2 linked regions of the Stegostoma tigrinum genome follow. The protein of the gene in region 1 binds, or shares a complex with, the protein of each later gene. Links are inferred from orthologs where the notes say so. Each region holds a gene or a part of one and is shown on either strand. Other genes may lie near its edges.

The links.
Region 2: cinp (region 1) and afg2b share a complex: the UniProt entries of both Homo sapiens proteins name them as parts of the 55LCC heterohexameric ATPase complex. The link is inferred for Stegostoma tigrinum from reciprocal best matches to the Homo sapiens genes CINP and AFG2B.

The regions. Positions count from the first base shown.
Region 1 is NC_081363.1:38,563,867-38,579,445, forward strand, and holds the start of cinp (cyclin-dependent kinase 2-interacting protein), read right to left. Parts: upstream 7,987-15,579; 5' UTR 7,841-7,986; coding exon 7,834-7,840; intron 2,965-7,833; coding exon 2,790-2,964; intron 1-2,789. Other genes in the region: tecpr2 (tectonin beta-propeller repeat-containing protein 2), read left to right, coding at 13,219-13,437, 13,734-13,862, 14,451-14,579. UniProt on the Homo sapiens protein: Component of the DNA replication complex, which interacts with two kinases, CDK2 and CDC7, thereby providing a functional and physical link between CDK2 and CDC7 during firing of the origins of replication.
Region 2 is NC_081386.1:37,030,669-37,047,202, reverse strand, and holds the start of afg2b (spermatogenesis-associated protein 5-like protein 1), read left to right. Parts: upstream 1-10,272; 5' UTR 10,273-10,330; coding exon 10,331-11,395; intron 11,396-11,753; coding exon 11,754-11,939; intron 11,940-12,552; coding exon 12,553-12,711; intron 12,712-12,866; coding exon 12,867-13,076; intron 13,077-13,112; exon of another isoform or gene 13,113-13,455; coding exon 13,456-13,686; intron 13,687-16,534. Other genes in the region: arpin-like, read right to left, coding at 3,140-3,300, 8,038-8,244, 8,871-9,003, 9,727-9,802, 9,892-9,983. UniProt on the Homo sapiens protein: ATP-dependent chaperone part of the 55LCC heterohexameric ATPase complex which is chromatin-associated and promotes replisome proteostasis to maintain replication fork progression and genome stability.

The sequences.
Region 1 (15,579 bases):
AAATGTGAGGCTGGATGAACACAGCAGGCCAAGCAGCATCTCAGGAGCACAAAAGCTGACGTTTCGGGCCTAGACCCTTCATCAGAGAGGGGGATGGGGGGAGGGAACTGGAATAAATAGGGAGAGAGGGGGAGGCGGACCGAAGATGGAGAGTAAAGAAGATAGGTGGAGAGAGTGTAGGTGGGGAGGTAGGGAGGGGATAGGTCAGTCCAGGGAAGACTGACAGGTCAAGGAGGTGGGATGAGGTTAGTAGGTAGCTGGGGGTGCGGCTTGGGGTGGGAGGAAGGGATGGGTGAGAGGAAGAACCGGTTAGGGAGGCAGAGACAGGTTGGACTGGTTTTGGGATGCAGTGGGTGGGTGGGGGGGGGAAGAGCTGGGCTGGTTGTGTGGTGCAGTGGGGGGAGGGGATGAACTGGGCTGGTTTAGGGATGCAGTAGGGGAAGGGGAGATTTTGAAACTGGTGAAGTCCACATTGATACCATATGGCTGCAGGGTTCCCAGGCGGAATATGAGTTGCTGTTCCTGCAACCTTCGGGTGGCATCATTGTGGCAGTGCAGGAGGCCCATGATGGACATGTCATCAAGAGAATGGGAGGGGGAGTGGAAATGGTTTGCGACTGGGAGGTGCAGTTGTTTGTTGCGAACTGAGCGGAGGTGTTCTGCAAAGCGGTCCCCAAGCCTCCGCTTGGTTTCCCCAATGTAGAGGAAGCCGCACCGGGTACAGTGGATGCAGTATACCACATTGGCAGATGTGCAGGTGAACCTCTGCTTAATGTGGAATGTCATCTTGGGGCCATCCCCTCCCCTGTCTGCTTTCCGGAGAGACCACTCTCTCCGTGACTCCCTTGTTCGCTCCACACTGCCCTCCAACCCCACCACACCCGGCACCTTCCCCTGCAACCGCAGGAAATGCTACACTTGTCACCCGCATGGGCCCCAGCTATGCCTGCCTCTTTGTAGGTTACGTGGAACAGTCCCTCTTCCTACAGGAAGACCCCTACACAGGCCCCAAACCCCACCTCTTCCTCCGGTACATTGATGACTGTATCGGCGCCGCCTCTTGCTCCCCAGAGGAGCTCGAACAGTTCATCCACTTCACCAACACCTTCCACCCCAACCTTCAGTTCACCTGGGCCATCTCCAGCACATCCCTCACCTTGCTGGACCTCTCAGTGTCCATCTCAGGCAACCAGCTTGTAACTGATGTCCATTTCAAGCCCACCGACTCCCACAGCTACCTAGAATACACCTCCTCCCACCCACCCTCCTGCAAAAATTCCATCCCCTATTCCCAATTCCTCTGCCTCCGCCGCATCTGCTCCCACGATAAGACATTCCACTCCCGCACATCCCAGATGTCCAAGTTCTTTAAGGACCGCAACTTTCCCCCCACGGTGATCGAGAACGCCCTTGACCGCGTCTCCCGCATTTCCCGCGACACATCCCTCACACCCCGCCCCCGCCACAACCGCCCCAAGAGGATCCCCCTCGTTCTCACACACCACCCTACCAACCTCCGGATACAACGCATTATCCTCTGACACTTCCGCCATTTACAATCCGACCCCACCACCCAAGACATTTTTCCATCCCCTCCCCTGTCTGCTTTCCGGAGAGACCACTCTCTCCGTGACTCCCTTGTTCGCTCCACACTGCCCTCCAACCCCACCACACCCGGCACCTTCCCCTGCAACCGCAGGAAATGCTACACTTGTCCCCACACCTCCTCCCTCACCCCCATCCCAGGCCCCAAGATGACATTCCACATTAAGCAGAGGTTCACCTGCACATCTGCCAATGTGGTATACTGCATCCACTGTACCCGGTGCGGCTTCCTCTACATTGGGGAAACCAAGCGGAGGCTTGGGGACCGCTTTGCAGAACACCTCCGCTCAGTTCGCAACAAACAACTGCACCTCCCAGTCGCAAACCATTTCCACTCCCCCTCCCATTCTCTTGATGACATGTCCATCATGGGCCTCCTGCACTGCCACAATGATGCCACCCGAAGGTTGCAGGAACAGCAACTCATATTCCGCCTGGGAACCCTGCAGCCATATGGTATCAATGTGGACTTCACCAGTTTCAAAATCTCCCCTTCCCCTACTGCATCCCTAAACCAGCCCAGTTCATCCCCTCCCCCCACTGCACCACACAACCAGCCCAGCTCTTCCCCCCAACCCACTGCATCCCAAAACCAGTCCAACCTGTCTCTGCCTCCCTAACCGGTTCTTCCTCTCACCCATCCCTTCCTCCCACCCCAAGCCGCACCCCCAGCTACCTACTAACCTCATCCCACCTCCTTGACCTGTCCGTCTTCCCTGGACTGACCTATCCCCTCCCTACCTCCCCACCTACACTCTCTCCACCTATCTTCTTTACTCTCCATCTTCGGTCCACCTCCCCCTCTCTCCCTATTTATTCCAGTTCCCTCCCCCCATCCCCCTCTCTGATGAAGGGTCTAGGCCCGAAACGTCAGCTTTTGTGCTCCTGAGATGCTGCTTGGCCTGCTGTGTTCATCCAGCCTCACATTTTATTATCTTGGAATCTCCAGCATCTGCAGTTCCCATTATCTCTGATACTGAAATTATTATTGTGTTATTTCTTGTTTCGAAAAGACTGTAGCAGTGTAATAATGATCCCTTTAAAAGCACAACAGCTTGAACAGAAGCATTAGAGTGAAAGCTGAGATAAGTTAGTTTGAATCAATTTACCACTGAGGGCACGTTTTAAAATTAAATTTTTTCACTAACATTTCAACATGTGAAACTTTACTCTGCAAGGCTTACCTGGTGTTGATTATAATGTTAACAATTTTATTTGCTACTGAGAATCCTGCATCATTAAGTGTTTCCCATTTCAGCATGGAGTTATGCCAGTCTGCAGCAGTATCCTTTATTTTTCTGACACTGTTGTTCAAGTCTTGTCTTCTTGGAGTTACAAAGCCTGAGCTTGGACATGGAGCTAGTAAACAAAAAAATGTATTAAGTTTCAGCTATTTAAGAAAAAATCTAATGCTTAACTACAGGTATTAACTTGCATTTATAAGAGGGTCTTTTAATGTCCCAAGGCACTTCAAGTGTATTAGAGATAGTCCTGCATCTAGTGTGCGCAAAACAGACTAAGCATACGATTGTTTCAAAGATAGTAGGAACTGCAGAGGGTTTCTGAAGAACGGTCTAGGCCAGAAATGTCAGCTTTCCTGCTCTTCTGATGCTGCTTGGCCTGCTGTGTTCATCCAGCTCTACACCTTGTTATCTAAGCAATACGATTGTGTCCTGTTTGCACAACTGGGACATGTAGCCGGCTTGTTACCAGAGGCTTTTACTCGAGGGATAGCACCCCAGAAGCAGCATAGCTGTGCAGGAAACCAGTACATTCATATGAAACATGTTTTGAGTGGGGATTGAACCCAGGCCTCAGAGGTACAGACACTACCACAGCAGCACAAAAGCCCCTCTGGGACATGTTTTTTTACAGATGATGATATTTCTAATCAGCCTGCTCAGACTCGAACCCAGACCACCCACCTCAGAGGTAGGGATATTACCACCAGACAACAACAGTCCCTTGGAAATCTTTTGTTTTAAGTGAAACAAAGCTCAGGCATATGGGACTAGTTTCGTTAGCAATAATGTTGATGGGGGTTTGTTTCCATGCTGCACAGCTATGACCTGGACCATAATCAATGGACACCACATGCTGGTCTGCTATTAGGTGTTTTCTAATCAGCCTCTTCAGGAAGTGTATGAAGATGTCAACAAGAAAAAAGGAAGCGTTAAGGTAAAGGATACTGAAGTCTTAAAAGAGCGGGTGCACTTGAGTCTAGAAAGTGCAAGGGGGTCATTTAAATAGGAAATTAGGAGAGCAAAAAACCAGTGGTGGATAAAACTAAGAAAAATCTAAAGATGTATAGTGGGGCACAAGAATAAACAGACAAAGAGTAGTACCATGTGTGTATAGCCCAAAGAGAGACAGACATAGCTGAATACTAAATATGTATTTTGCATTTGCATTCACAATAAAGGAGGACGATGAAGGTCCAGAAATTGAGGTGGGGGTGGAACTGTGATTTACTTACAGTCAGGGTTAAACAGCACTGTAACAGACCCTTTGGTCATCCATGCTGACCAGATATCCTTTATAAATCTAGTCCCATTTGCCAGCATTTGGGCCATATCCCTCTAAGCCTGCTTATTTAATCCAGATGCCTTTTAAATGTTGTAATTGTACCAGCCTCCACCACTTCCTCTGGCAGCTCATTCCAGACATGCACCACCTTGTGAAAGAGTTGTTCTTTTTAAATCTTTCCCCTGTCACCTTAAACCTATGCCCTTTAGTTTTGGCCTCCGCCCCACCCCCACCCAAGGGAAAAGACCTTTCCCATTTACCCCATCCATGACACTGCAGGGAAATAGCACTGGTCTGTCCAGCCTCTCCTATTGCTCAAACCCTCCAACCCTGACAACGTTCAGAACCCTTTCTAGTTTCACAACATCCTTCCTACGGCAGGGAGACCAGAAGTGCACACGATACTCCAAAAGTGGCTGAACCAAAGCCCCTGACCTCCCAACTCCTATACTCAATGTACTGACCAATAAAGGCAAGCATACCAAATACCTTCTTCACTTTCCTATCTACCTGCGATTTCACTTTCAAGGAACTATGAACCTGCACTCCAAGGTGTCTTTGTCCAGCAACACACCCCAGGACCATACTATTGCGTATATATCCTGCTCTGATCTGCCTTTCCAAAATGCAGCACCTCACATTTATCTAAATTAAACTCCATCTGCCAGCCCTCAGCCCATTGGCCCATCTGATCAAAATTCCATTGTACAGGAGGTAATTTTCTTCACTGCCCACTACAAATTCCATTTTGGTGTCATCTGCAAACTTACTAACTATCTCTCCTATAGTCACATCCAAATTATTTTTATATAAATGACAAAAATCAGTTCACCAGCACCAATCCTCGTGGTACACCACAGGTCACAGGCCTCCAGTCTGAAAACCAATCCTCCACCACCATCATCTCTTTCATCTGAGCGCCAATTCGGAACCAAATGGCTAGTTTTCCCTGTATTCCGTGTGATCTAAACTTGCTAACCTGTCTACCACGAGGAACCTTGTTGAACATCTTACTAAAGTCCAAATGGATCACATCCACTGCTCTGCCCTCTGAATTTTTTGAAGTAACACAATCAAGTTACTGAGACAATTTTCCATGCACCATGCACGCACTTGACCAAATTAGCATCGAGGGGGAAGATATTAGTGGCTTTAGCAGCTTTAAATGTAGAAAATTTCCTAGGCCCAGATGAGATGTATCCAAGACTGCTTAGGGAGGCACGGGAGCAGGGGCCATGAAAATTTTCAACTTCTTTCCGACCACAGAAAAGGTGCCGGAGCACAGCTAATCTTAATACCATTATTCATGAAGGGTGTAGGGATAAACCAGGAAACTATAGGCAGGAGAGGCTGACATCTGTGGTAGGGAAATGATAGGCAAAGAAAATTGAGACACAAAATTAAAGTCCCCTTGAATTAATCAAGGATAGTGGGCATAGCTTTGTAAGTGGGGAAATCATAACTAACAAACTTGATTAAATTTTTCCACAGACGTGACTTGTATGTGGATGGGGGTGATATAGTTGATGCAGCCAGAATAGACTTCACTAGAGCTTAAGACAAGTTCGAGCATGGGACACTCATTAAGAAGCTCAGATTCCATGGGATCCAGGGCAATTTGGCAAAGCACAGAGTGGTGATGAAAGGATGCACTGTGCTATGGCTGGAAGCCTGTGTCCAGTGGTTTACCACAGTACAATGACAACGAGGAAAGCCTTGGACTACAGGACAATATAGATAAATTGGAGTTTCATCCTAAAAAGTAAACAAGTTGATGCATTTTGGGTGCATTAACCAGCAAGAGAATACATATTGAATAATAAGAACTCGAGGAAGTCCAGAAGAATCTTGCTGAGTGTGTGCATAGATCCTTGAAGGCAGCAAGTAAGGAGGCATATGGGATACTTTCTTCGTCAAGGTATAGCAGCCAAGAGTAAGGAGGTTATGCTGGACCTGAATATAGTGTTAATTAGGTTACAGCTGGAGCAGTGAGCAGTGCTAGTTTCCACACTACAGGAAGGATTTGATTGTACATTTGAGCATGCAAAAGAGATTCACCAGGATATTGCCTGGGCTACAGCCATTTAGCTTTGCTGAAGGCGATGCATTTTGGAAGATCCAATTCAAGAGTGAACTATGTGGAAAATAGAAAAGCCCTGGGGAAAAGCGATGTACAGAGAGATCTGGGTGTTCAGGTCCATTGTACTCTGAAGGCTGCTATGCAGGTCGATAGAGTGGTCAAGAAGGCATACAGCATGCGTTCATTCATCGGACGGGGTATTGAGTAAAAGAGTTGCCAGGCCATGTTACAGTTGTATAGGACCTTGGTTCGACCACATTTGGAATACTATGTACAGTTCTAGTCACCACATTACCAAAAGAATGTGGATGCTTTGGAGTGGGTGCAGAGGAGGTTCACCAGGACGTTGCCTGGTACGTAGGGTGCTAACTATGAAGAGATGTTGAGTAGATTGGGATTATTTACATTAGAAAGGCAGAGGTTGAGGGGGTGACAAGACAGGGTGGAGAGCAAGAAGCTTCCCCCACCTCCCCAGAGTGGGGGAACTCAATTACTAGAGGTCACAATTTCAAGGTGAGGGGGGAAAAGTTTAAGGGAGATATAAATGGAAATTTCTTTACACAGAGGGTGGTGGGTCCCTGGAACACACTGGCAGCAGAGATGGCAGAGGCAGGCACAACAGCATCATTTAAGATGTATCTTGATAGATACACAAATGGGCAGGGAGCAGAAGGATACAAATGCTTAGAAAATAGGCAACAGGTGTAGATAGAGGATCTGGATCAGCACAGGCTTGGAGGGCCAAAGGGCCTGTTACTGTGCTGTAATTTTATTTGAAAGTCAGATTTGATTTCCTTAGAGCAAAGAAGGCTGAGGGGGAAAATCTGATTGAGTACTCCAAAATTCTCATGTGCATAGAGGGAAACATTTCCATAGTAGAGTTTTCACTAACTGGAGGGCGCAGTTTTCAAACTAAAGGTGCAGAAAGTTTATTGGGAATTTGAGGATACTGTTTTCTACCCCCCAACGCACCTGGAACCTACTGCCTGAAAAGGTGGTAAAAATGGGAAATCCGCAAGACATTTGAGAACTATTTAGATGAACACTCGAAACGTTTTAACACACTAGACTCCAGGCCAAGGGGTGAAAAATGCGACTAGGATACAGAGGCGCGTGATGGGTCGAAGGGCCTCTTTCCGTCCTGACCGACTCCAAAACACGTTATTGCGCATCTTGTTCAGTACGTTTTGGTCAATAAAAGATGGATTTTTTTTGGGGGGGGGCGTCGAGTTCAGAATTTACTCTTCCGATTTACCTTCGGCTTAAGAACAATAATTCCTTATGCACTGTACAATAATGTACAATTTTGTTCGTTAAGATTCCTATGATGCACGTTGGGGCCTCTTACTCCATTACAGCCACCTCTACAAATGTGTAACCGTAGGGCGTCTCACAAATTCTTAGCTTAGTAATATTCATTTTTATTTCCCATGAAGCCGCATCATTTTACACGTTTTCACGTGTTTTCCATCCTTGAAACGTCTGCTGCCGCTTTTCCCTAAAGGCTAAACTTTTGAGATTGCGATTAACGCAACACATTTTAAATCTTTCCAAATCAGCCTTAGAAAGTAATTCAGGGGAAAAAAAACCCTTAAATTTCACACGAAATAACTAAGCCATACCGTCCATGTCTACCACATTTGCGCTGAAGTCACTTCACAACTTGTCCGAAGTCACTACGTCAGGATCACGGACAAGCTACAAGTGAAACGTTTCGTTGATGAACCGTCTAGGGGACAGTAACAAACTGTACCCCGTGTATCAAAAGGGCCAGGATAGCTTTACCCTCATTGGTGAAGAAGATTGCATTCTGATTGGCGGAGCGGTAGCACCGCTGATTAGCGAAGACCCTGATTGGGCAGACTGCGTTCTCCGATTGGCGGAGCGGACAGTGTTCTCTGATTGGTGAAGTGGGCACGATATTTGTGTCGAAGTGGGGGGATAGCGCCATTATGATTGGTGGAGCGTGTTACCCGTTCTAATTGGACACCCTTGACCAGTGAAATGCTATCCTTACTCTGATTGGTGAAGCCGTCACACGGCACCAAAGGATGGAACGGACTGTTCATTCTGATTGGTGGAATGGCCTGTCCGTGCTGATTGGTGGAGCTACTCTCGGCTCTGACGCGGGGGGGGGGGAGGGAAAAGGCCTCGGGAGCAACATGGCGGTTGGGCAGAGAGAAATTGTATGAGACTCAGGGGATCTAACTTGGAGCGTGGTAAGTGATGGTGGGGATGGGTCTGACATACACGTGAGGAGTGTGGCCTTAAGTGGTCCATGGGGTGGTGGGTGGACCATTGTCGCAGGCCCGGCTGAGGAGAATAGATTCTCTGGCTCTGGTAGTAGTGATCTCCTGATGTGTTGACAAGGCTCTTGAGATCGAATAGGTTTACAATATTAAAAATGATTGTTCAGTCATTGTATTCTAGACAGTGGCGGAATGTTTCGTGTGAAACATTTAAAATTATTTCTATCCCCCTTCCAATGTTTAAACTATATTGAATGATACCTGTTAAACTTAAGTAAATTAGACATTTTTCCAGCACATACAACTATGCAACGTTCTGGAAGCAACTGATAACAAGGCAGTTTTTTTGGCAGCTAATAACATTTTTAACCTCATTGGCCTGACATATCCCAGGCTTCCAATATCACCAAGAAAGGGGATCAATCCTTGCTCAATGAACAAAACAGGAGGATTCCTAAAAATTAATTGTCACCTTCATGTGCCAAACAACGTAAGCAGCAAGTGACTTACAGAGCTAAATGATTCCATAACCAACAGATCAGATCTAAGCTCTGCAGTGCTGCCACATCCAGTTGTGAATGATAGTGTACAGTTAAACAAATCGCTGGAAGAGGAGACTCCACAAATATTCCCATCTTCAATGATGGGGGAGCCCAACACATTAGCGCAAAAGATAAGGCTGATGTATTTGCAACAGTCTTCAGCCAGAATTGCTGTGATTTATCCATTCCATCCTTTCACAGAGGTCCCCAGCATCGCAAATACCAGACTTCATCCAATTCAGTTCACTCCACATCATATCAAGAAATAGCTGAAGGCTCTGGGTTCTGTAAAGGCTGTAGGCCCTGACACCATTCCAGCAATAGTTCCAGCAGTTGCTGAAGATTTCTGTGTGGCCACAGCACTGGCATCTACCCAACAATGTAGAAAATTACCCGAATATGTTCTGTACACAAAAACAGGACAAATCCAACGTGGCCAATTACTTCCCCATCAGTCTACTGTTAATCATTAGTAAAGTCATATATCATCCCATATATCATCGATAGTTCTTGCAAGCAGCACTTGTTCCGCAATAACATGCTGAATGATCAGAGATAATGGGAACTGCAGATGCTGGAGAATCTGAGATAACAAAGTATGGAGCTGGATGAACATAGCATGCCAAGAAGCATCTTAGGAGCACAAAAGCTGACATTTCGGGCCTAGACCCTTCATCAGAAAACCCTTTTCTGATGAAGGGTCTAGGCCCGAAACATCAGCTTTTGTCCTCCGAAGGAGCTGCTTGGTCTGCTGTGTTCATCCAGCTCCACACTTTGTTATCTCACATGCTGAATGATGCCTTGTACGGGTTCCGCCAAGGCCACTCACCTCCTGATCTCATTACAGCCTTGGTTCAAACTTGAACAAAATAACTAAATTCCAGGCATTAGGCGAAAGTGACTGCCCTTGACATCAAGGCTGTGGCACTTCAGCCCGAGTGTGGCATCGAGGAGCTCTGCACAACTGGAATCAGTTTGATTCGGGAGTCGGAGTCATACCCAAGCAAAGGAGGATGGTTGTGGTTGTCGGACGTTAATCATCTCAGTTCCAGATATCTCTGCAAGGGTTACTCAAGATAATGCCCTTGGCCCAACCATTCTTATTAATGACCTTCCCCCCCCATCATAACATTAGAAATAGAAAGGTTTGCCAACACTTGCCTGATGTTCAGTACCATTCACAACTTCTCAGACACTGAAGCCATCCATGTCTAAATGCAGCAAGACTTGGCCAATATCCGGATTTGAACTGACAAGTGGCAAGACCACAGTATGATAAAATTGTGTATTATGTTTAAAAGTGAGGCACTTCAATCTGACGCAAGGATGTAAAATTTGAATTAGGAAGTAATGATGGCATGGAGTACATTGGGATTGGGAAAATACATTAACAGGCATGACTATACATATGCTGTAGATAGCTTTAAAAGAAATATTACGTGCCTTACATTAACTATACATTCCTTCAAAGTATAAAAACTTAAATCTGGCTAACAAGGAAATTAAGGATTGTGTAAGATTAAAAGATTTATAAATTTGCCACAAATAGTACTAAACGTAAGGGTGGGAGATTTTTAAGAGTATAGCAAGGAAGGACTCATAAGGAAAAGGAGAATAGAATATGAATGCAATCTTGTAAAAAACCATAAGTGGTCTGTAAAAGCTTCAGGTATGTAGAGAGGAAAGGTTTGGCTGAGGCGAATGTTAGTCTGTCAGGCACATATATAATGGGGAATGGAGAAATGGTTGAGAAGACAAATAATTACTTTATGTCTGCTTTCATCGAGAAAGGTGTAAGAAACTCCCAGCATTAGAAATGCAACTGACTCGGGACAATGAGGAGTTGAAGAAAATTGGTATTTGTAGTAAGGTTGTTCTGGAAAAATGAATAAGACTGAAAGTTGTTAAGTTCTCTTGACCTGATATTCTGTATCCCACAGGGCTGAAGGCAATGATTGATGATATAGAGAATATATTAGTGATCATCCTCCAGCTTTTGATAGATTCTGAAATGTTTCTGGCAGAATGTCACCCATTTTTTAAGAAGGCAGCGAGAGAGAAAACAGGGAATTACAGACCTGCCATTCTTACATCAGTAATAGGGAAAATACCATATAGTAAAGAATGGGATAAATAGACACTTGGATAAAAATCATCTGATTGGGCATAGTCAGCATGGACGTTTGAATGGGAAATCATATTTGACAAACTTTTTTGAGGATGTTACGAACAAAATTGATAAAGGAGAGTTGATGAATTTTGTACGCTTGGATTTTCAGAAAGCTTCCGATGAAGTCTCCCACAGAAGACTGTTAAGCAAATTAAAGCACATGTGATAGATACTGGCATGAGTTAAGGATTGGCTAACAAGCGGTAAACAGAATGTAAGAGTAAGCAAATCATTCTCTTGTTGACAGATGGAATTTACTACAGGTAGGGGTGAATGACCACTTTAGGTTAGAAGAACCAAACCTGAGATTTTGGGATCTGCATCGTTGTATTCATTACCTAGATGCAGTGACCCTTTGGAGGAATATCTAAATACACTGGTTTCAAGAACGAGCCAAGGCTGGGAATTCTGAGGTGAAGTGTGCAATTTACCTCTTGATCTTGCAAAGCCAATCCAATGTCAAGAAAGCAGCGTGTATGTCTGCTTGCCCAGATGAGTGCAGCACCAACAACATTCAGGAAGAGCGACACTGCCCTAAACCAAACAGCCTACTTGATCGTCACCAATCCACCAGCTCAACACTAAACATTCATTGCCTTTAACATCTGATGCTTAATAGAAGCACTGTGAAACATGTGCAAGATGCAGTGCTACATCTCGCCTTTCTCAGCACCATTTAAGCTCATGCATTCTACCACCTGGAGGCACAAAGGGAGCTGACACATGAGACTACCAGCACCCAGATGTTCCCCTCCAGGTTACACACCGTCCTGACTTGGAACTGTACTGCTGTTCTTTCACTATCACTGGGTCAGAAGTGTGGAATTCATTTCCTAATAGCTCCACGAGTGTACCTTCACCACTTGGACTGCAGCAGTTCAAGAAAGCAAATTCACTGCTATCTTGATAACCGATAGGGATCAATAACAAATGTTGGTCTTTCCAGTGATGCCTATTTCCTATGGAAGAATAAAATAAATGTTCTGTGTCATTAAAAGGGATAGGTTGCAAAGCAATTAGAATTTCAACACATGAATAAGGTAATAAAAGGGATATAGCAGTTCACCATTCAGCTATGGGAGCAATTGGAGCTCTGGCCAGATTATTACTTTGTGAGGCTGTCAGAACTTGGACTTTAACTTGCATTTTCAATAGTAAAGCCTTGTGTTAATTTGTGCATTTTTGCTGGTTCCAAACTGAATGAGATTATTGTGAAATTATCCTAATTCTTTCTCTCTGCTTTGCTTCCTTCCAAGAGCTGTTGAGAATGAACCCTGTCAAGAGCTTGTTTTAGGAGCGGGCACATCAAGTTGAAACGTTTTTACAAACAACATTGCCATTAAATTTTATGTTTTAAAAACAACATCACAGTTCAATTTTAGGATGCTGCATTTCTGTTTTATCCAATCAATGACCTTTTCTGATCATATTTTACTGGAGCTGTTTATCCCATGGTGGTGTTTTTTTTAGTATTAACATACCTGTTGTATGTATTGAGCAAGCTGTTTTTATTATGTTAATCATTCAGTTAACGTGTTGTGTATTAAATGTGTCTATTGGATATGCCTGTTATTAACTTTTATATTTTCTTATTGGCATAAGTTTCTCCATACTGCCATTCCAGGTTTCAGTTTGTCACGTTATAGCTCGAGCGATTATCTATTATCACTACCTATCAATCTCATTATCTATAATGTGCCAAACATGATACAGAATCAGTAGGTGTTTTACACAGTATTGGATCGCACTATTGACACTTATGTGCAAGTCCCAAAATAGTCCATAGTAAGGTAACTGCTTAGAGCAGTTAATTGATGTGATGGAAGCTATCATTAACAGTTAAATAATTTTGAACTTTTTGTCATCATTTTGGACATGATATTTGACTGAGATAACTGACCAGTCAACTGCTATTGTCTGAACTTTAACTGTCCAATATAAACTTTTCTGGTGTGCGTAGATTGCATTTTGTGTGTAGTTAATGAGATTTTCTAATTACATTTCCCTTTGTTTGTTTTTCCTTATTTTCAGTGTCTTATTGATGCCATGGCATTAGATGTGCACTTCACCACATTTAAGGAGTTCAGTCCCTTATCTTACCTACTGAATGCTATCCCAACAAAAGTACAGAAGGGGTTTAGAAATGTTCTCGTCCATCTCACAGCACTTGATGCCAATAAAGACTACATTGCAGTGGGCAGTAATATCGGTATGCTTTATCTCTACTGCAGACGGCTGAACAAGATGACAAAATATAATCTAGAGGTACGTTTGAACATTAGCCTGTTGCTGTAGTTATGTGAACAAAATTAGCTTAGGACCAGGAGAGAAGTAGGATAAACATTAACTTTTTATCCTTCTATTTTACCATTTCTGCAAAGCATTGAGAATAATACCCGTGATAAGTTAGATTTATCCTTCTGAGATGCTGACATGTTTCAAGAAAGTACTAAAATATACTCAAGTGCATTATCAAAATAAATTAAATTGAATAGCCTTGTATATGTTTTGCTAAACTTGTGATATAGTTGTTTACTAAAAGAGTTTTCTTTCTCATTAAGGGTAAAACTGATACTATTAGAGTGGTGAAATTGTTGGCTTGTTTTGATGACCTTGTTGCTGTTGGGACATCTTCAGGAAGGGTAGTACTTTTCCAGCTCGTTTCACCATTGCCTGGAAGAAACAAGCAGGTAAATTAGAGCTCTGGAGGCATGATTTAGTTTTTGCACTTCGAGCAATATTTTGGTCTTTGATGTAATAGCACCGGCAGATTGTCCCATTTTTCTGCAAAGCTAATTTAAGGTATTTTGCCAGTTTCTGTAGCTATCTAAGCAGTCTGCTGCTGTTTCTCCTACCAGCATCACTGATACTTCTTACACATTCTCTTTTTATTACAGTATTCATCTGGTCTACCAGCATCTGTGGAGATAAAACTTTATTATCTCTGAGTCAAATATAACTCTTCTTTGGAATTTCTTCAGTTGACAATGAGTCTTAAGTTGAATTCAAATTTCTAATTGTGTGTTGAAATTTTAAAAATGCACTGATAAATTATTCAAAAGACTTTTATTTCATCCATGATCTAGAAATATTATAGTCTTTTTATTTGTCTGTCAGTTGCATAAGAGCCATGTGAAAAGTTGTCTGTATTGTGTCTTGCAGCTTTCAAATTCATTTTCTGCAATTCTGTAAAGCATAAATGTAACAGTACAGTTGTATTTGGCTACTGATAAATTTAATGTTTTTCTTGACTTTTTACTGTAATGCTTGCTTCACAGTTGCGTCGATTTGATGTCTGTATTCACAAAAGTAATATTACAGCACTAGCTTGGAGCACTAATGGAATGAAACTGTTCTCTGGGGATGATCAAGGCAAAGTAGTCTATGCTGCTGTGGATTTGGACCAGGTAATGATTCTCAAAATGATATATTGTGAATAGCTAGATTATCTAGTAGGGTTATAGATTTGTAAATGTATGGCAAATGCAACTATTTAAGAAACCACAGTTCTGAAAGCAGACTACATTTTTTCAAGTTTTTTGTTTGAAATGTGTTGGCAGTATTATTTTAATGGACAAAAGTTGTTAAAAGTACCAGCATTTGATTTCATCAGATTGGCAAGAAAGGAGCACTAAAGATGAACAGTCCTCGTCCAACTTTCAGAATTTCTAGCCAGAATAATTTGGGATTATGGTAAGGGTCTTGAGGGATATGGCTAGCCAGTGTATCATTCCCCTTGGGGAACATCATTTTTAACCGTGTGTATTAATAGCTTGAAGGAAGGAATAGAAAATTATGATGACACTAATATAAACGTTACGGTAAATTGACTAGATCAGCTGATAACAAAGGGATGGACTAAGTGAGGATGCAAAATTATGAGGGGAAATGTGTATTTATCTGCTTCAGAACTGAGATCAGTTCTTATACAGGTACGAACTGTAGCTTGACAAAATATTTTGGTATCATTTTTAACATGACTGAAAGCTACAATACAGATGCAAAATACAATTAAGGACTATGTAATTTTAGCCTGTATCTTCATAGATTCATAGAATCCCTGCAGTGTGGAAACAGGCCATTTGGCCCAACAAATCCACACTGCCCCTCTGAAGAGCACCCTACTGTGACTTATTACCCTACCTCTGCATTTGCCCATGTACAACGCAAACATCACAGGACTGTATATGTAATTTAGCATGGCCAATCCACCTAACCTGTGCATCTTTGGACTGTGGGAGGAAACAGGAGCACCCACAGGAAACCCATGCAGATATGGGCAGAATGTGCAAACTCCACACAAACATTCGCCTGCAGGTGGAATTGAACCTGGGTCCCTGGCACTGTGAGGCAGCAGTGCTAACCACTGAGCCGCTGTGCAGCACCTGAGCCGTACGGTGGCTCAGA
Region 2 (16,534 bases), on another chromosome or scaffold:
GAAATTATTTTGTTACATTTATCAGTAATCTTAACTTCACACCTCAATCCCTCTGGTAATCATTGACCACAGTTTACACAAAGTGATAATATGCTGGAACTAAACCTAGTCAGAACGAACCAATGAAAGCATGTTTCAAATACAAGTATTTAAAACGAGGTAGCCAGGAAAGGATATCCACCTGGTGTTCAAAATTTGACCAGTCAAAATCAAAGGTTTATGTTGATATAAATTGACTCTCAGCCCGATACATCATCGTGTGGAGGTGCTGCTGTTGGAGTGGTGTTGACAAATTCAGAAATTGCACAAAACCAGCTTATAATCCCACAGGTTTATGTGAAATCACAAGCTTTCATAGCACTGCTCCTTCATGTGGTAACGACACTGCTGACTTCAATACATCATCAGCTGGAAAGTACATCCAGTGTTTTGTTTTCCCAAGAAGTTTATTTTGTAATTTTGTCCTGGTTATCTTGTCTCTTGCGGCGGCACGGTTGCTCAGTGGTTAGCACTGCAGCCTCACAGCACCAGGGAACCAGGTTCGATTCCAACCTCAGGCAACTGTCTGTGTGGAGTTTGCACATTCTCCCCATGTCTGCGTGGTTTCCTCCGGGTGCTCTGGTTTCGTCCCACAGTCCAAAGATGTGCAGGCTAGATGGATTGGCCAGGCTAAATTAGCTGGTGTTCAGGGGTGTGTGGGTTATAGGGGGATGGGTCTGGGTGGGATGCTTCAAGGGGCGGTGTGGACTTGTTGGGCCTAAGGGCCTGTTTCCACACTGTAGGGAATCTAGGCTACTCTCAAAGAACACATACAGTCCATTCTCTTACTTCAAGTACTCAAAATATACAGGTGTAAACCTTGGTTGACTTCGTCAAAACATTCATGAACCGGCTGGTCAATCGTAAGAACATCAAATCATCTCACTATGACACAACACATTGACAAGGTTTAGTGACAAGTATATCAATCTCCTAATCAGTTCAGAACATATTGCCAACTTACACTTCACAATAAAATACTTCTGGGGCCGAAGGAAAAAGTCAGGAATAACACCAGGTTTGGGAGAAGAATCAGGAGGTAAATTACAGTCTGACCATTCAGGATAGGTTTACAGGAAGCTTTTAATAACATAATGGAATGTTGTCAGAGAGGAATAATGTGAGATGCTCAGGATTGCTGCAGAGACTATAAATGTAACAACCTTTCCAACCATTTTGATCCTTGCTCCGTCTTCACTGCATGAACCACGGATAACAATACAGATGGAGGGTATGTTGGATGGTGATTCGAGCATATAAAACAGACCATTATTGATCCAAGATTAATGTGGAGTCACAGGACATGTAGCTGTAATGGTTCACTCAGTAATCCAGTCGAAGTAAAGATGGCTTTGGATTCCTCCTTCACGAGCTAACTCTGAAAACACTGTGGGATCCAGCCATCCAACCTGAATAAAGTACTTTGTCTGACACCTTCTGGTGTTCCAAACCAGCCGAGGTCCTAAGGGAATCACAAGGCATCTCTGGTCTCAATAAAATTACTTCAAGGATTATTTTAAACGAGAAGTAAACCAAGGCCTTTGCAGATATAATATATAATTATTTTTCACAGTCCTCTGGTTAACTTTGTGATGCTGAACAAAACAAAGATATTGAAGCTTAAAGTTAGAGAAGATTTGTAGCTCAGGTTGTGGATGAGGTTGTTGACTCGCTGAGTTGGTGGGTTTGATTGCAAACGTTTCATCACCCTGCTGGGTAATATCATCAGTGCACCTCAGTGAAGTGTTGGTGTTCTGTCCCATTTGTTATTTATATGCCCCGGTTTGCTGGGATGGTTGGTATTATTTCCGGTTTGGTATTTTGTACATTACATCGGTTTTAGGTATGAGATCTCTTACATTCGTCAGTAGCTGTTGCGGGCTACTCTGATACCTAGGGGTCCGAGTAGTCTTGTGGTCACCTCTAATGTCCTTGATGTATGGGAGGTTGATTCATGAGTCTGGTCATGTTGTGTCTTCCTGTTGTGGTCTGTCTCGGAGTTAACGGTGGATTGTGCTTTTCGTTTGTCCATTCCTTTTGAAGACTGTGTATAAGTTCCCCTGTTCTACTTTGCATAGTTCTGGGTTGCTACAATGTGTTGTGGCTCGTTTAAGTAGTGTCCTGATGCAGCTCCGTTTGTGGGTGTTGGGGTGGTTGCTAGATAAATTTATGTTTAGGTTTTATTGTCAGTAAAGTTTTGTTCCAAATTTTAAAATTAAGAGCTGAATGAAAAACAGCTTGATCTCTGATTCCGTTCAATAATCTCCAGAATAACTGCCATTTGTTGGTTTTGATGACTTTCTGGAGTGTCAATCATCCTGGAGGGGGAAAAAAATTAAAATGAAAATATTAAACGAGATCATTCATTAAAAAAATGGAAATAGAAAATACTGGAAACACAGGGTTAGTGCAGCTAATAGTCAAGCTTATATTCACAATTCAGCCTTCAGATGAACTGGAAGATAAAATAACTCCTTTTAGGGGCTGTACAAAAGGGAAAGACATAAAAGCTAAGAATCAGAAATATGTCTCTGATCAGAGAATCTACCCATGAATTGGATTCTAAAACACTTCCACTGATCACAAATAGATTCTGTTGAGAAATTGTTCATGGCTAATATCAGACCAGCTGCCTGTTACCCATAGCACCGCGCATCTAATTTTATCCACTAACTAGCAAGTCCTGCATATCACAGCCTGTTCTGTTCTGCACCACTGCTGGCATGACATTCACCATCAAATTTCCAAACAATTATAAATCATATTTATAATTAATCTGAATTTTAAAAGATTGCTTACAAGTGCTTTCAAACACATTTTTACAAACTGTCACAAACAAATTGTAACATGACAGTTAAGCTGTATCCTGAGACCAACTTCTATCTTTATTTTTGTAAAAATGGTTATTAATGATAACTAACTCCTGGGTGTAATTTAATATTTAATCTGTCAGCTGTTCATGCTGATTTAATGCATTTGCCATTTTGTAGACACTGGACTATCAGTACCTGAACAGTACGACTAGAGCAAAGCATCTCTAATGATCAGATAAATCTGCCAATAAGGAGTAAGTGAAGGGAACACTCCATCCAGGTCTTACCCATTCATCCTCATCAGCACCTTCTCCTTGGGTAGCTTTGGTCTCTTGCTCAGTTTTGTGCTTTGCAGCAAATACATTGTCAGTCCAAGAAGCTCCAACCTTTTCGCCTCCTGCGAAGTTGCATTTAGTCACAGTTCCAGCATCCATTTTGGCCAGTGAAACTAAAAAAAATTACATTCTTACAGTAAAGGCTAGTGATATTTTTAAACCAGTCAGACTTAGTCAAGCTTGGCATATGGACAGGTTGTTCACTTAAATTCACACTGAGTGACCCACTGTTGGAGGGTACAAGACTTAATTACTGTGAAATCTTGACTAAAGTTGTATACTTGCTACAGTCCGTCACGGCTCAGTCGGTGGTGTAAGGGGCCACACATTTTCCTGTTTAGATTGTAAACTAGAATAGAAATCAGACACTATCAAGCTAAAATACGTGAATTTTGCAACTTGTAACATCAATTGGTACAGATCTTTAGCTATACATGGCAATGTTGATTTTGTAGTAGTGAGATCATTACATTTTGAAACAAAGCAATACTGGGAAGTTTTGAATTAGGGAAATGCTCCCTGATAATATCCCTCAGATTGGTCAGGCCATTGTATGGTTCAGATTTGAGGGCAGTACAGCCAGATATATCCAGAACTGGAAATCAAAAAAAACCTCCCTCTCCCACCCACCTCCGCTGTGAAAAGGGGAAAAAAAAAATCTAGAGGCTCAAAAGAAAAAATTCTAATATAGCAAACATTTTATTAAGAGCACCTATGGGACCAGGAGTGTGCAGATTGATCTAGAGGTCTGCATAATTAATGTGAAAAGACAGGGGGTATACACAACACTGTTCTACTTTACTTACAACATAAACCACTTTAATAATAAGGGAACTTTGCATTAAATAAAAAGTACCAACTGACAGCCTTCTCACTCATGCTCAACTGACTTCTCAGACATTGCAGCAGATCATGATAATATAGTAAACTCCATTTAAGGTATATAATGTTTAGAGTGTGCCAGTTCATAAATTAGTTTGGAAAGGTATTCATAGAGGATCTGCAGATTGGAACCTCCAAACAAACATCACATCATTGGATATATTCGACCATGGATATTATTGTCCTTTGAATCCCAGAGCAGGACTCTAATGCCGTCGTGGCGTAGGCTGGTGTATCCTGGAGTGGGAAAGTGGCAGTGGAGAAGGAAAAGTTGGACTGTCGTCAAGTTAGTAAAATGTGAGGCTGGATGATGAAGGGTCTAGGCCCGAAACGTCAGCTTTTGTGCTCCTGAGATGCTGCTTGGCCTGCTGTGTTCATCCAGCCTCACATTTTATTATCCTGTCGTCAAGTTATCTTTCTTTCAATTTATTTTATTTTAAGTTAAATGAGAACGGTGTTGATTCATGGTGACAGTGTAAAACTTTTCACTGTGTTATATTGAATACATGTGACAATAAATGATTCACTAAGTAAAACCTTCAACAAACTCAAAGAGCTAGAACCCCACAACACAGAGCTAGACCCTATACACTCCACTGTGAAGGAAAACCCGAAGTGAGGTAATCCAGCTCAACGGACACCAGAGTTTTAAAACCAGGCAGGAAAACACAACAGCGCTTCATCGGAGGCTGCACTGATGATGTTACCCAGCAGGGTAATGAAACATCTGCGGAACAACAAACCAGATCAGCAAGCCAACCAATCTCAGCAGGATAGTATAATGTAGGGTAGTTTGATCTCAGAGTAGGGTAACAAGTTGGCATAACATTGTGGGCTTAAGGGCCTGTACTGTTCCATGTTCTCATATGGACGGGTTATGTCAGGTCAAAGAGGTGGGGAATGAAAGGGATGTTTGGACATGGGAATGAGACGGGGGTGGGGAGATCTTAAAATTGGTGAATTCTATGTTAAGGCCATTGGGCTGAGGCAGAATATGAGGTGTTGTACGTTAAGTCCACCCATGGACTGTTTTCACAATAACCAATTCATTGTGGTCTCCATCAGCAGCTTTTCTTTTCCCCCCCCAATTCCCCATTATCCATTCCTTTCTCAGCCCAATGCTTTTCTCTGCCCTGGGCTCTATTTCCTCCTTCCCCTCCTCCCACGTCCTATCTCAGCACATATACCAATCTTATTCTAGCTACAATAGCTAGTTCTGAAGAAGGGCCACTGGACCCGAAATGTTGAGGTTGATTTCTCTCCACTGATGCTCCAGACCAATAATTCCTGTTTTATTTCAGATTTCGAGCATTCACAGTTCTTTGTTCTTTTATACTGGTGAATCTGCTCTACACTCCTTCCAATGAAATCCTATCCTTATAGAGTGGTGACCAGACATGCACAGTATACTCCAGCTGTGGTCTCATCAAAATAGAGTACAGCAGCAAAAAAATCTCCCTACTCTTATAATTTACACCAAGGCCAAGTTGTAATGTGTCCCATATGCCTTCTGAACCATCCTATTAACCTGTCCTGCTGCCTTTAGGAAACTATGGACAAGCAACCCAAGATCCTATGATCCTCAGCTTCCTAGCGTCCTGCCATTCATTGATTACTCCTTTCTTCCAAATGTCACATCTTATTTTTCAAAGTTAAATTTCATTTACACTGATCTGCCCAATCTGTTCATGTCTACCTGCAATCCAAGATTCTTTCCTCACTGTCAGCCAGTGAAACTTTGCATAACAGAGCCACACTGCAAATAGACCCTTCGGTCCAACTAGTCTATGCTAACCATTTTCCCCAAATTAAGCAAGTCCCACTTGCCTGTCTTTGAACCATATCCCTCCAATGTTTCCTATTCATGTATTTCTCCAAATGTCTTTCAAATATCATAACTGTACCCACATCCACCACTTCCTCTGACACTTCATTCCACATATGAACCAGTGTAAAAAAACTGCCCCATTAGAACTTTCTCCTCTCACCTTGAAAATATGTCCCCTATTTTTGAACACCCCCTATCCTAGGCAAAAATCCTTCCTGTTAACCGTTTCTATGTCCCTCATGATTTTATAAATCTCTACAAGGTCACCCCTCAACAACCTACACTCCAGTAAAAACTTATTTTCAACACCTCACCCCACTCTCATCTACTGTTTATATAGATCATGAACAATAAGGGGCCCAGCACTGATCCCTGTGGACACCTGCCTCGAGTCACACAAACAGCCTTCTGTCACTTCTCTCTCTCTCTAATCACTAAACCAAATTTGGATCCAAATTGCCAAGTTACCCTGGATTCCATGTGCTTTTACTTTTTCTTTAAAAAAAAGTCAGTTGCCCACTTGGAACCCTGTTAATATCTTTGCTGAAATCCATACAAACTACATCAACTACGAGACACTCATCTAACACTTGGAAAAATTCTATCAAATTTGTTAGGCACAACCTCCCTCTGACAAAGCCATGTTGAATATTCCTGATCAAACCTTGCCTTCTTAATCACTTAAATGCATCTGCATAGTAACTTTTAATAGTACATGTCCCAGCTCACAGGTTCCACTGGGCTTCAGAGTTCTGCAATCTCTCGCTATTTAAAATAATGCTCCTTTTCCAATCTTAGTGATAAACGGACAAATTCACAATTTTTCATATTTTAGTCCATCTAAAAATATTGCACACTTAACAGTCTATAAAAGGATATAGGCTGGTTAATATCCACTTGACAATTTTTGTTTTTTTTCTCAAACTCCTATTCTATTATACCTGCCATCTCCCAGGGGAGGTAGTAGTGTAGTGTATGGTCACAGGGCTGATAGTCTAATGTCCTTGTGGGCATGGGTACAAATCCCACTATGTCAGATGATGAGATGTGTGCAATAACAATATAAACAGCTAGGCAAATGGCAGACATTTAACTATTGTCAATTATCATTACAAAGCCCTGTGGTTCACTAATGGCAATGTCATTACCCAGTCTGATCAGCAAACGCACTGTGGTTGACTCTTAAGTTACCCTTCAGCAACTGAGGATGGGAAATAGCTACAAATAGCAGAGCTACTAATTGAGGGGTGATAGATTTAAGACAGATGTCAGAAGCAGGTTCTTTACTTAGAGTGGTAAGGGCATGGAACGCCCTGCCTGCCAATGTAGTTAACTCAGCCACATTAGGGGCATTTAAACAGTCCTTGGATAAGCAGATGGATAATGATGGGATCGTGTAGGGGGAGGGGCTTAGTTCACAGGTCGGTGCAACATCGAGGGCCGAAGGGCCTGTTCTGCGCTGTATTGTTCTATGTTCTAAATAAATGTTGGCCTAGTTCATGAATTAATAAAATAAAACTTATTCAAGACTGTTCCGGTATTCCACTATCAGCCATTATTGATTCCACAATCTTGCCCTTTAAAAGGGCTCACTTTGGTTATACTTTTCATTTTTAAATACTTAAAAGCACCTTATAGTTTTGGTTAAATTTTTGGAATGTTTTCTCTCTAATTTCTCTTTTGCTGATTTCTAAATCTGTCCAGATCTCAGTTCCATACCAATGATACATCCTTCCTGGTGGACTGTTGGAGTATATTTTTAGTGAGGTATGAAAAATTTCAAAAATATATTGCACTGTCCTATCTTTTAAACCATTTTTCCCCAATATTCTGTTTATGTAATTGCCTTGATTCAACTTCAAGGCACTAGATTTTATTAAGAGAGAGTGTGTATACACATGCTTGGGGAAGAGAGAGAGTGGATGTGTCAGATTGAGGGGCTGGGTGAGTAGAATCCCACTATGTACAGATTGCCTTGTTTCTCATTTTCCAACTGTGATGATCAACCATCAGCAATGAAAAATTTGGGGATTCAGACTTGATGGAAACTCTTGCTTCTCGTTTGGTAAGAAATTACAGCTGCAAAAACAGTGAATCTCAGTAAAAATCAATTGTTCCAGGATGTAACATTCAAACTTACAAATAAAAGGACTGTCCCCCAAGGTTTTCAGTCGTAAACAATCTTCAACCTCCAGCTCAATGTCTTCCACCTCTCCCTCTGAGATCCAGAATGCCAAGCTCTGATTGGGGGTGTGTTTCTCTGAGATTTTAATAAGCTCTGGTTTATTAATTAATCGCTTCAGATCTTCAACCAAAATTTTGTCTGTCTGTCCCGCTGCTTCCACCTCTACCGGATGATGTAAAACATGAAAACACAAGGTTAAGGAGCAGGCCTGAGAGCCCATGGCATTAGGTGCTTGACAATTTTCACCTGCTTTTTAATGAGGCTATTCTCGCAGCAATTTTCACTCACTAAGGTTTTACCACTTATGTTTTCAGTCATTTTTCTTTGACACAGACTAAGTCTAAACAGGAAGAAACTCAAATGTTCAGTACTTACCCAAAACTGACGTGCCTGTATGGATCATTTATAATAGGTGGAATGACTTTGAATATGTAATTATTTTTGTTCTCTACAGAAACAAAATGGGATCTCCCACTGCCCCACACCAAAGCTGGTAACATTATCAACACTAATTTCCAGAAAATTTCAATCTCCACATCCTCCTTACTTACACACATGAACAAGAGGAAGCTGTTCAGCCGCTCTTGGCTGTTAGACAGGACCAGTAGAGACCATTCAGCTACTTGAAAGAATTATACACAAATAGGAGGCCATTCACCTTCCCAAATCTAGGAACAGGAACCATTCAACCCTTGAGGCTGTTGTACAAAGTAGGCTATTCACCCTACCAAATCTATTTCAATTTTCAATATGGTCATAGCTACTCAAATTTGGCTTCATATACTCACTGAAGGAAGACATCAAATAGCCAGTGTTGACCTTTTTAGTTTCACTGAAATTTGGTTCAATCTCCACACCAGCAGAATCAAACTTTCTTTTATGGATCCTTGTTGGTTGAATATAAAGAATGAAATAACGATGCTGAAAAGCATAAAGAGTTTTTTTTAAATCTAGACATTTTTGTTCATTAAACCAAGTAGAGCAGTGAATTCTACATAGTTTCCAGTTGTGGCAAAGGATCGTCGGTTACAAACAGAATACTCAGTTTCTGCGAAACTTTGTAAACTTGAGGAAAAAACCAAAAGAACTGTGGATGTCTGTAAATGCAGGAAAACTTCTGCATCCTTGTACTCCAATTCTCTGGATATAAAAGCCATCAATTTTCTACACAAGAGGGTAGATAACTTACAGAGAGAGATACTTCAGGTCAATGACCTTTCATCAGTCCATAGCGTATATAGCAAGTTTTCAAGGACACTTTATCAGGGCTCTGTTGAAAACACAAATACCTGTTTATCATTGGAGCATCATGGATTCGCCCTCCTTGACCTGGTATGGGATTTGAACCTGAAGCTTTTAGTTAGGAGGCAGGTTGCTATACAAATCAGTGCCACATGACCTTCCCAGTATTTCTTTTAACGAAAAGGACTGTGGAGACTGTAAATCCAGCAACTCCTGTTTTTGTTGTGTTTGTAAATTTGAGATTTAATTTCACTTCCGGAGACTCAGGACAAACACTAACACCACGCTCCCGGCTCCCGCCCCGACCGACCGACCACGCCCCACTCTGCTCGTCACAGCCCGGCCTCCAGCAGCAGCACGCACCCCCCCGGGGCCCTCCCGAAACATCATGCCGTCCCTTACCGTGCTCTTTCCGCTCTCGATGATTTGATGGCGGCTGACGGCCCGCAATCTTCCCTCCAGCACCACCCCAGGGCCGCTGCAAACAAAGCGGAGCCGTTACCCCCTTTCAGACCACCCGCTGCCCGCCTCCAATCTCTTTGCAGCTCCCCCGCTACCAGCACTCACCGCTGCAGCTCAGCCGGTTCCCAGCGCCCCGACACCGGCTCCGGGATGACCGGCCTGTTCGCTAACGCTTTATCATCATATATTCTGCTCATAGCGGCTTGTTAGGACCGAAACAGATGACCCAGCGCTTCCGGGATCAGGGCAGGGACCTGCGGACAGATCCCGGTGGAGAGTGGGTGGGTCCACATGCTCAGGGGCGGTGTCTTCTGTGTCAGTGGGCGGAGACACATGCTCAGGGGCGGTGTCTTCTGTGTCAGTGGGCGGAGACATGCTCAGGGGCGGTGTCTTCTGTGTCAGTGGGCGGAGACACATGCTCAGGGGCGGTGTCTTCTGTGTCAGTGGGCGGAGACATGCTCAGGGGCGGTGTCTTCTGTGTCAGTGGGCGGAGACATGCTCAGGGGCGGTGTCCCTGGTGCTAGTGGGCGGAGCTCTGTCGGTAATGGCCGAGCTGCTCCTGCTCCCTGCTGACTTTGGGGACCGGGATTCGCAGCGCTGCCGTCTTGGGCCACGGGTCTTAACCGCTCTGGGCCTCAGCCTGGGTGCACCACTGCGGGTCTGTTTACCGGGAGGCTCAGCTCTGTGCTCTGCTTGGCCACGGGCGGACCGGGCCGAGGGCTTCTTGCAGCTCGACTGCAAATGCGTGAGTCCGGGGCTGTTAGAGAGACCTTGCCGGGGCCTGAGCTTGGGCCTCGGGCACCTAGAGCCCCTCTCCTGTGTTAAACTGAGGCGGGTCCGGGTGCGGGCTGTTCAGTCACATGGACCCGGGCCCGGGCCGGTGGTGGCACAGCTGCTGCTGAAGGAGCTGCTGAGGGGGTTGTTCCTCTGCCCGGGGTTTGTGGTTACGGTAGAGCCGGAGGCCGCGGCCTGGCCTGGGTTGTTCCTGCTGGATGTGGCCGCAGTAGAGCCGGAGCTGTGTCCCGGCAGCGTTGGCGTCCTGGGCCCCGGGACCCAGCTGGAGGTGGCGGAGCGGCTGAACCTGGAGCAGTTCCGAGCCCGAGGAAGGGGCCTGGACCTGGGCAGCCTGCAGCTGTCTGCTGCCCCGCTCCAGGAGATGCTGAACCTTCCGCTTCGTTTCCCGCGGGCCCTGAACCGCCTCGGTCTGCCGTGCCCCCGGGGTTTACTGTTACTTGGGCCTCCGGGGGTGGGGAAAACGGCGCTGCTGCGCGCCGTGTCCCAGGATTTGGCCGCTCCACTGATCCTCGCCTCCCCCGCTACCCTCCGGGGCTCCCGGCCGGGGGAGAGCGAGCAGAGGCTGCGCTGTCTCTTCGCCCAGGCCGAAGCCCAGGCTCGGGCCGGGCCCTGCATCGTCTTCATCGACGACATTGAGTCGCTGTTCCCCCGGAGGGCGGCGGCTGGGAGCCGGCCTGAGGACCGCCTGGTGGCCCAGCTCCTTACTCTGATGGATGGCCTGGAGCCTCGCACTCGCCTTGTCGTGGTAGCCGCCAGCAGCAGCCCCGAAGCCTTGGAACCCGCATTGAGGCGACCCGGCCGCTTTGACCGAGAGGTGCCTGCCTTCCTGAATCGGCCAGTAGTCAGGGTTTGGGAGACAGAGATCCTGGTTTGAGGGAAGAATGGTAGACACCAGGGCAGGGCAGGGCAGAGACGAACCCCTAGGCCAGAGAGAGAGGTACCCGCGGGGTAGGGGTGAGGGAGGAGAGAGACTGGGGGTTTGGGTGGGGGGCAGAGAGACAGATTAAGGATGAGGAAGGCTGAGAGAGTCAGACCTGACGTGGAGAAGTGAAACACTTCCAGGAGCACAAAGTCAGATGTAGGCGATTTTTATGCAACTAAATCCTTAATGGGCGATTTTTATAATTTACTGAATCTGAAAGACTGAGTCTGCCTTTTAACTGCCTTTACAGGTTGTAATCGGGGTTCCAACGACGTCGCAGCGCCGATCCATTCTGGAAGTAGTCACCTCATCAATGCCTCTTGGGGCTGATGTTGATCTGTCCTGGCTGGCAGAAGCTACAAGTGGTTACGTTGGTGCTGATCTGACAGCCCTTTGTCGAGAGGCTGCTCTGCAGGTTGTGAGGCGCAGCTCTCAGGTACTAAAAAGAGCAAAAGAAGCAAGGCCGTGGGGTGTGTTAACCGTGCTGCCCAGGGCATGTGAGGCCTGGAGTGGTGGCTCATAGAATTTATTTGTGCTATTCAAAAACTTACACTAGCTGAGTATAAACCATGTTCAGTCAGTCGCAGAACTAGCCACTAAAAAACAAAAGAACTGTGGATGCTGTAAATCAGGAACAAAAACGGGAGTTGCTGGAAAAGCTCAGCAGGTCTGGCAGCATCTTTGAAGGAGAAAACAGTTAACATTTTGGGTCCAGTGACCCTTCCTGTGAAGGTTCTGAGAAAGGGTCACCAGACCCCAAACATTAACTCTGTTTTCTCCTCCACAGATGCTGCCAGACCTGCTGAGCTGTTCCAGAACTAGCCACGTTCTCAATTAACCTAAAAGTCAGAGTCATAGTTGTACAGCAGGACACCTGGGAGTGCTGAAGACAGTTGTACTCCTGTGAGTTGAGGCCAGATCAGTGTCTGCATGGAGACTCTTCATAGGCGTGCTTTGTTTTTTAATTTTTGCATTAATCAGACAGACTTTAGGAATTATTCTCCTATTTCAAATTTCTCTTTGTAATTATTGACTCTGATTTCTTTAAGGACGCAATGAGCAAGAAAATCACCTTTGCAGACTTCTGTGAAGCAATGAAGATTGTGCAGCCTTCCTGTCTGAGAAGCAGCATCGGGCTTACTGGCTTCAAACCTGTCCATTGGGATCAAATTGGTGGCCTGGAACAAGTCAAACTGAAATTGAGACAGGTGACGAATGTAGCTGTGGTTTAAAGACACAGGTGGCTGTTGTGACCCAAGCCCCTCCCATCTCAGAATTCGCTGTCGCCCACTCCCAGCTGTCTGCTCTAATGGATGAGGCAGATCTTGAATGCAGTCTGTAATTGTTAGCATTCTCTCTGCAGAGTATTGAGTGGCCAATGCTATACCCGCAGGCATTTGAGAGGATGGGGGTGACCCCCACTCGTGGAATTCTGCTGTATGGACCCCCAGGGTGTGCAAAGACCACGCTGGTGAAAGCTGCAGCCTCCAGCTGCCGCTGTCCTTTCCTGTCGATCAGTGGGGCAGATCTCTTTTCACCGTTTGTAGGGGATTCTGAAAAGATTCTGGCTCAGGTGTGTATTTACAACAGGTTCACTCCAGACCGTGTACAGCAAGTTTAATAGTAACCTTATTTAAAGATGTACACTAGCCAAAGTACTTCAGTAAAGCAAAGCCCATGTGTTTTATCACCAACCCTGTACAGATCTATTTCCCTTGTTCTGAGCAATTCAGTTATGTCTATAGTTGTCATGCAGTGAACATCACAAAATACCATTTTCTTTGATAATTCAGATTTTTCTGAAGCCTGTGAGCACTCCCATCTTTAACACTCTAGCGTTAATTATCAAAGCTGAACAAAATAAATCTTGGTGATAGTTGGTTATATTAGTTCTGTTTGCTGTCTGCCCCCCTCCCCCAGCACATTGACATTCTGTTCTGTTTAAAGTACAGGTTTTTCAGCAAGCTCGAGCTGTAGCTCCATCCATCCTGTTCCTGGATGAAATTGATTCCATCCTTGGATCACGTTCACTTGATGAAGCAAGTTGCCGTTCTGTTAAAGAGCGGGTACTCTCTGTTCTTCTTAATGAGATGGATGGAATTGGGCAGCCACTGATTGGGAGGAGACACGCAGAAAGGAAAGTACCTGCATCTGAAGGAAATCAAATGGAACAGACAAAAAAGGTATAAGATTAAACCGACCAAAATTTAATGTGCTGGTGCTGGATGATTTCAGTGGAGTGAGGCGGGGGAGGGGATTTGTTTCGATAAGATCATCTCAGTTATGTTAAACTGACTATAGGAGTAACCTAACACCTCTCCTCAACAGACTCTGTATACCTGAAATCAACCCAGTGAGTGTACCCTGGACTGTCTCCAGTACCAGTATATCTTTCATTGATAATAGAATCAAAACTATTCGCAGTATTTCAGGTGATGTCTAACTGGTATCTTGTATAGTTGTAGCAAGGCTTCCCTATTTTATTGTTCCGTTCCCTTTTAAATTAAGGCCAGTATTCCATATGCCTTCCCTATTAGCCACTGAACCTGGATGCTTGATTTTTGTGATTCATGTATGAAGATGCCAAATCACTTATGTAGTCTCTCTCCATTTAAATAATTTGCAGTTATCCTATTCCTTCTGCTAAAGTGCGCTACCTCAGATTTTATTCCAAGTGCTTAGTTTTTGTCCATTTGCTTAACCTGTTTATATCCATCCAACACCCTTGGCCTCAAACTAGTGTGCAGTAAGGTTAGAAATCTTTTGAGAGACAATAAACATCAGCCTTTGGAGAGAACATTTCAAAGAACTGTTGAAGTATCATACACTCAGCAATGAGGTTGTTAAATTCTGATGAAGGGTCTAGGCCCGAAACATCAGCTTTTGTTCTCCTAAGATGCTGCTTGGCCTGCTGTGTTCATCCAGCTTCACACTTTATCTTGGATTCTCCAGCACCTGCAGTTCCCATTATCTCAGGATGTTAAATTAGTTTTGTGCGAGTTAGGTTTTTTTTATTGTCACATCTAGGGCAATTTAGTGAAAAGTGTTTTGTCTCCACAATCCGGTGCGATTTTTGAGACATAAAAGAATGAGAAGAAAGTACTTAAAAAGAATTCACCTGCATTGACTGGGGTCCCAAACATGGCTGTAGTACCCTACTCCGGACTGACTGCAGGCAGGAGTCTCCAATCTGCCAATTCCAGGAATCCATGCATCGGGCCCACAAAGCCAGGAGTCCCTGCTTCAGTCAGACTGCTCCAGCATCACCATGACATCAGGGAGGTGAAGAAAAGAATGTGGCCAGCCTGGAGCGGATGGGCCTATTGTGCCGCAGCTGCCATTTTGAATAGCTGGGACAACTCTTCCCCCTCCATGCTGCAGAGCCCGCTGTCCTCTCCCCAGCATCAAGGCAACAGTTCAGTTCGGGCACCTAGTGATGACAGTCTTCAATGATCATGACATCTGTGCTGTTACTAAGACTCTTGTGTATTAGGCAGCCATCTTTCTGACTCTTCTGTGTGGTTCTGAAACATGGGCTATGTATAAATACCACCTCAAGGCCCTTGAGGTCCTACTAATGCTGTTTTGAAGCCGATTCTCCACATCAGCTGCGAGGACAAGTGTGCTAACAACATACAGCCAAATAGCATAAGCATTGGGGTCAAACTGATGTTGCTGGGCTGGCTACAAGTTTAAGTCCCAACTACCCAAGTAGATCATCTTTTCCTCATTCAAGGAAAACACCAGAACAAGAGGGGCACAATGGAAGCATCTCAACGAGTCCTTGAAGGCTTTTATTCCCCAAGAAATGCAACATTGATGTCTGCGGATGGGAAACCCACAGTCAGAAGAAATGGACTTGGACAAAGTTCCTGTATGAAGGGTCATAATTTTTTTTTTGATAGCATCAGTTTTCTGGAAAATGAACCAGAGAAAGTAATGCCCGGAACCAATTCTGCCTACCAGAAGACCTGCCAGATGTGTGAGTAATGCAGCTCAAGGTTTGAGCTCGTCAGCCATAGAAGAACCCATTGAGCCAGAGACACACAATTTGCTGGGTTGATGATCATACTCTTTAACGAGTGACTATTCATAACAACTATATCCCTCTGCAATCTCCCATTGTGTCATCATCATCATTACTTGCCTTTCCCACCTTTTTGTGAGATATACAAATCTACCAATGATTCATACACACTTGTCATTGGTATCATTTGTATATTGTTTGTTAGTCCAGTTCTGAATTATGGTGACGAATTAAACAACTCACTGGAGGCGGCAGTTCCACAGATACCCTCTCCTCAATGATGGGACATTCCAGCATACCATTGCAAAAGATAATATTGAAGAAATTGTGATGACCCATCAGTGCTGTTGGTTCACTGTTAATGCAGTGACAGTAGATATGACAGCTGCACAAAACTATCATGAATTGAGAATTAATGAGCTCAATACTTACACTCTGGGAAATGTCAACAATGTTTGGAGATACTTTCCTTGAGCTAAGTTTCAGTTGTATAGCTGAGTGTAAAACCAGTTTCAGACATCACTGAATCAGTATAGAAATGAATAAGATAGACCGATAGCTTGGAAAAAATCAATTTTGAAACTTTTAACCAAACTGTAAAAAAGGAAGGATTGGAGTAATAGAATAATACAATACTGAAGGGACCATTCTGCCTGTTGCACCTAATGCAAGCTGTGGTAAAACTGGCCAATTAGGGAATGATTTCTGACAAAACTCATGTTTGATAGCAGATTAGAGAATTTCCTTCTTCACGGCTGATTTACCACAAGGAGAGTTCCTCATTTATAAATTTCATAACCTTTGGCATGGAGAGTTTTTATTCATTCATGGCATGAGGGCATTGCTGGCTAGACAGCGTTTATTGCCCATCCCTAATTGCTCAGGGCAGTTGAGTTAACCAAATTGTGGGTCTGGAGTTGCATGTAGGCCTGACCCAGGTAAGGATGGCACTTACTTACCTCTATGACATTAGTGAACCAGATGGGCTTTTCCAACAATTGACA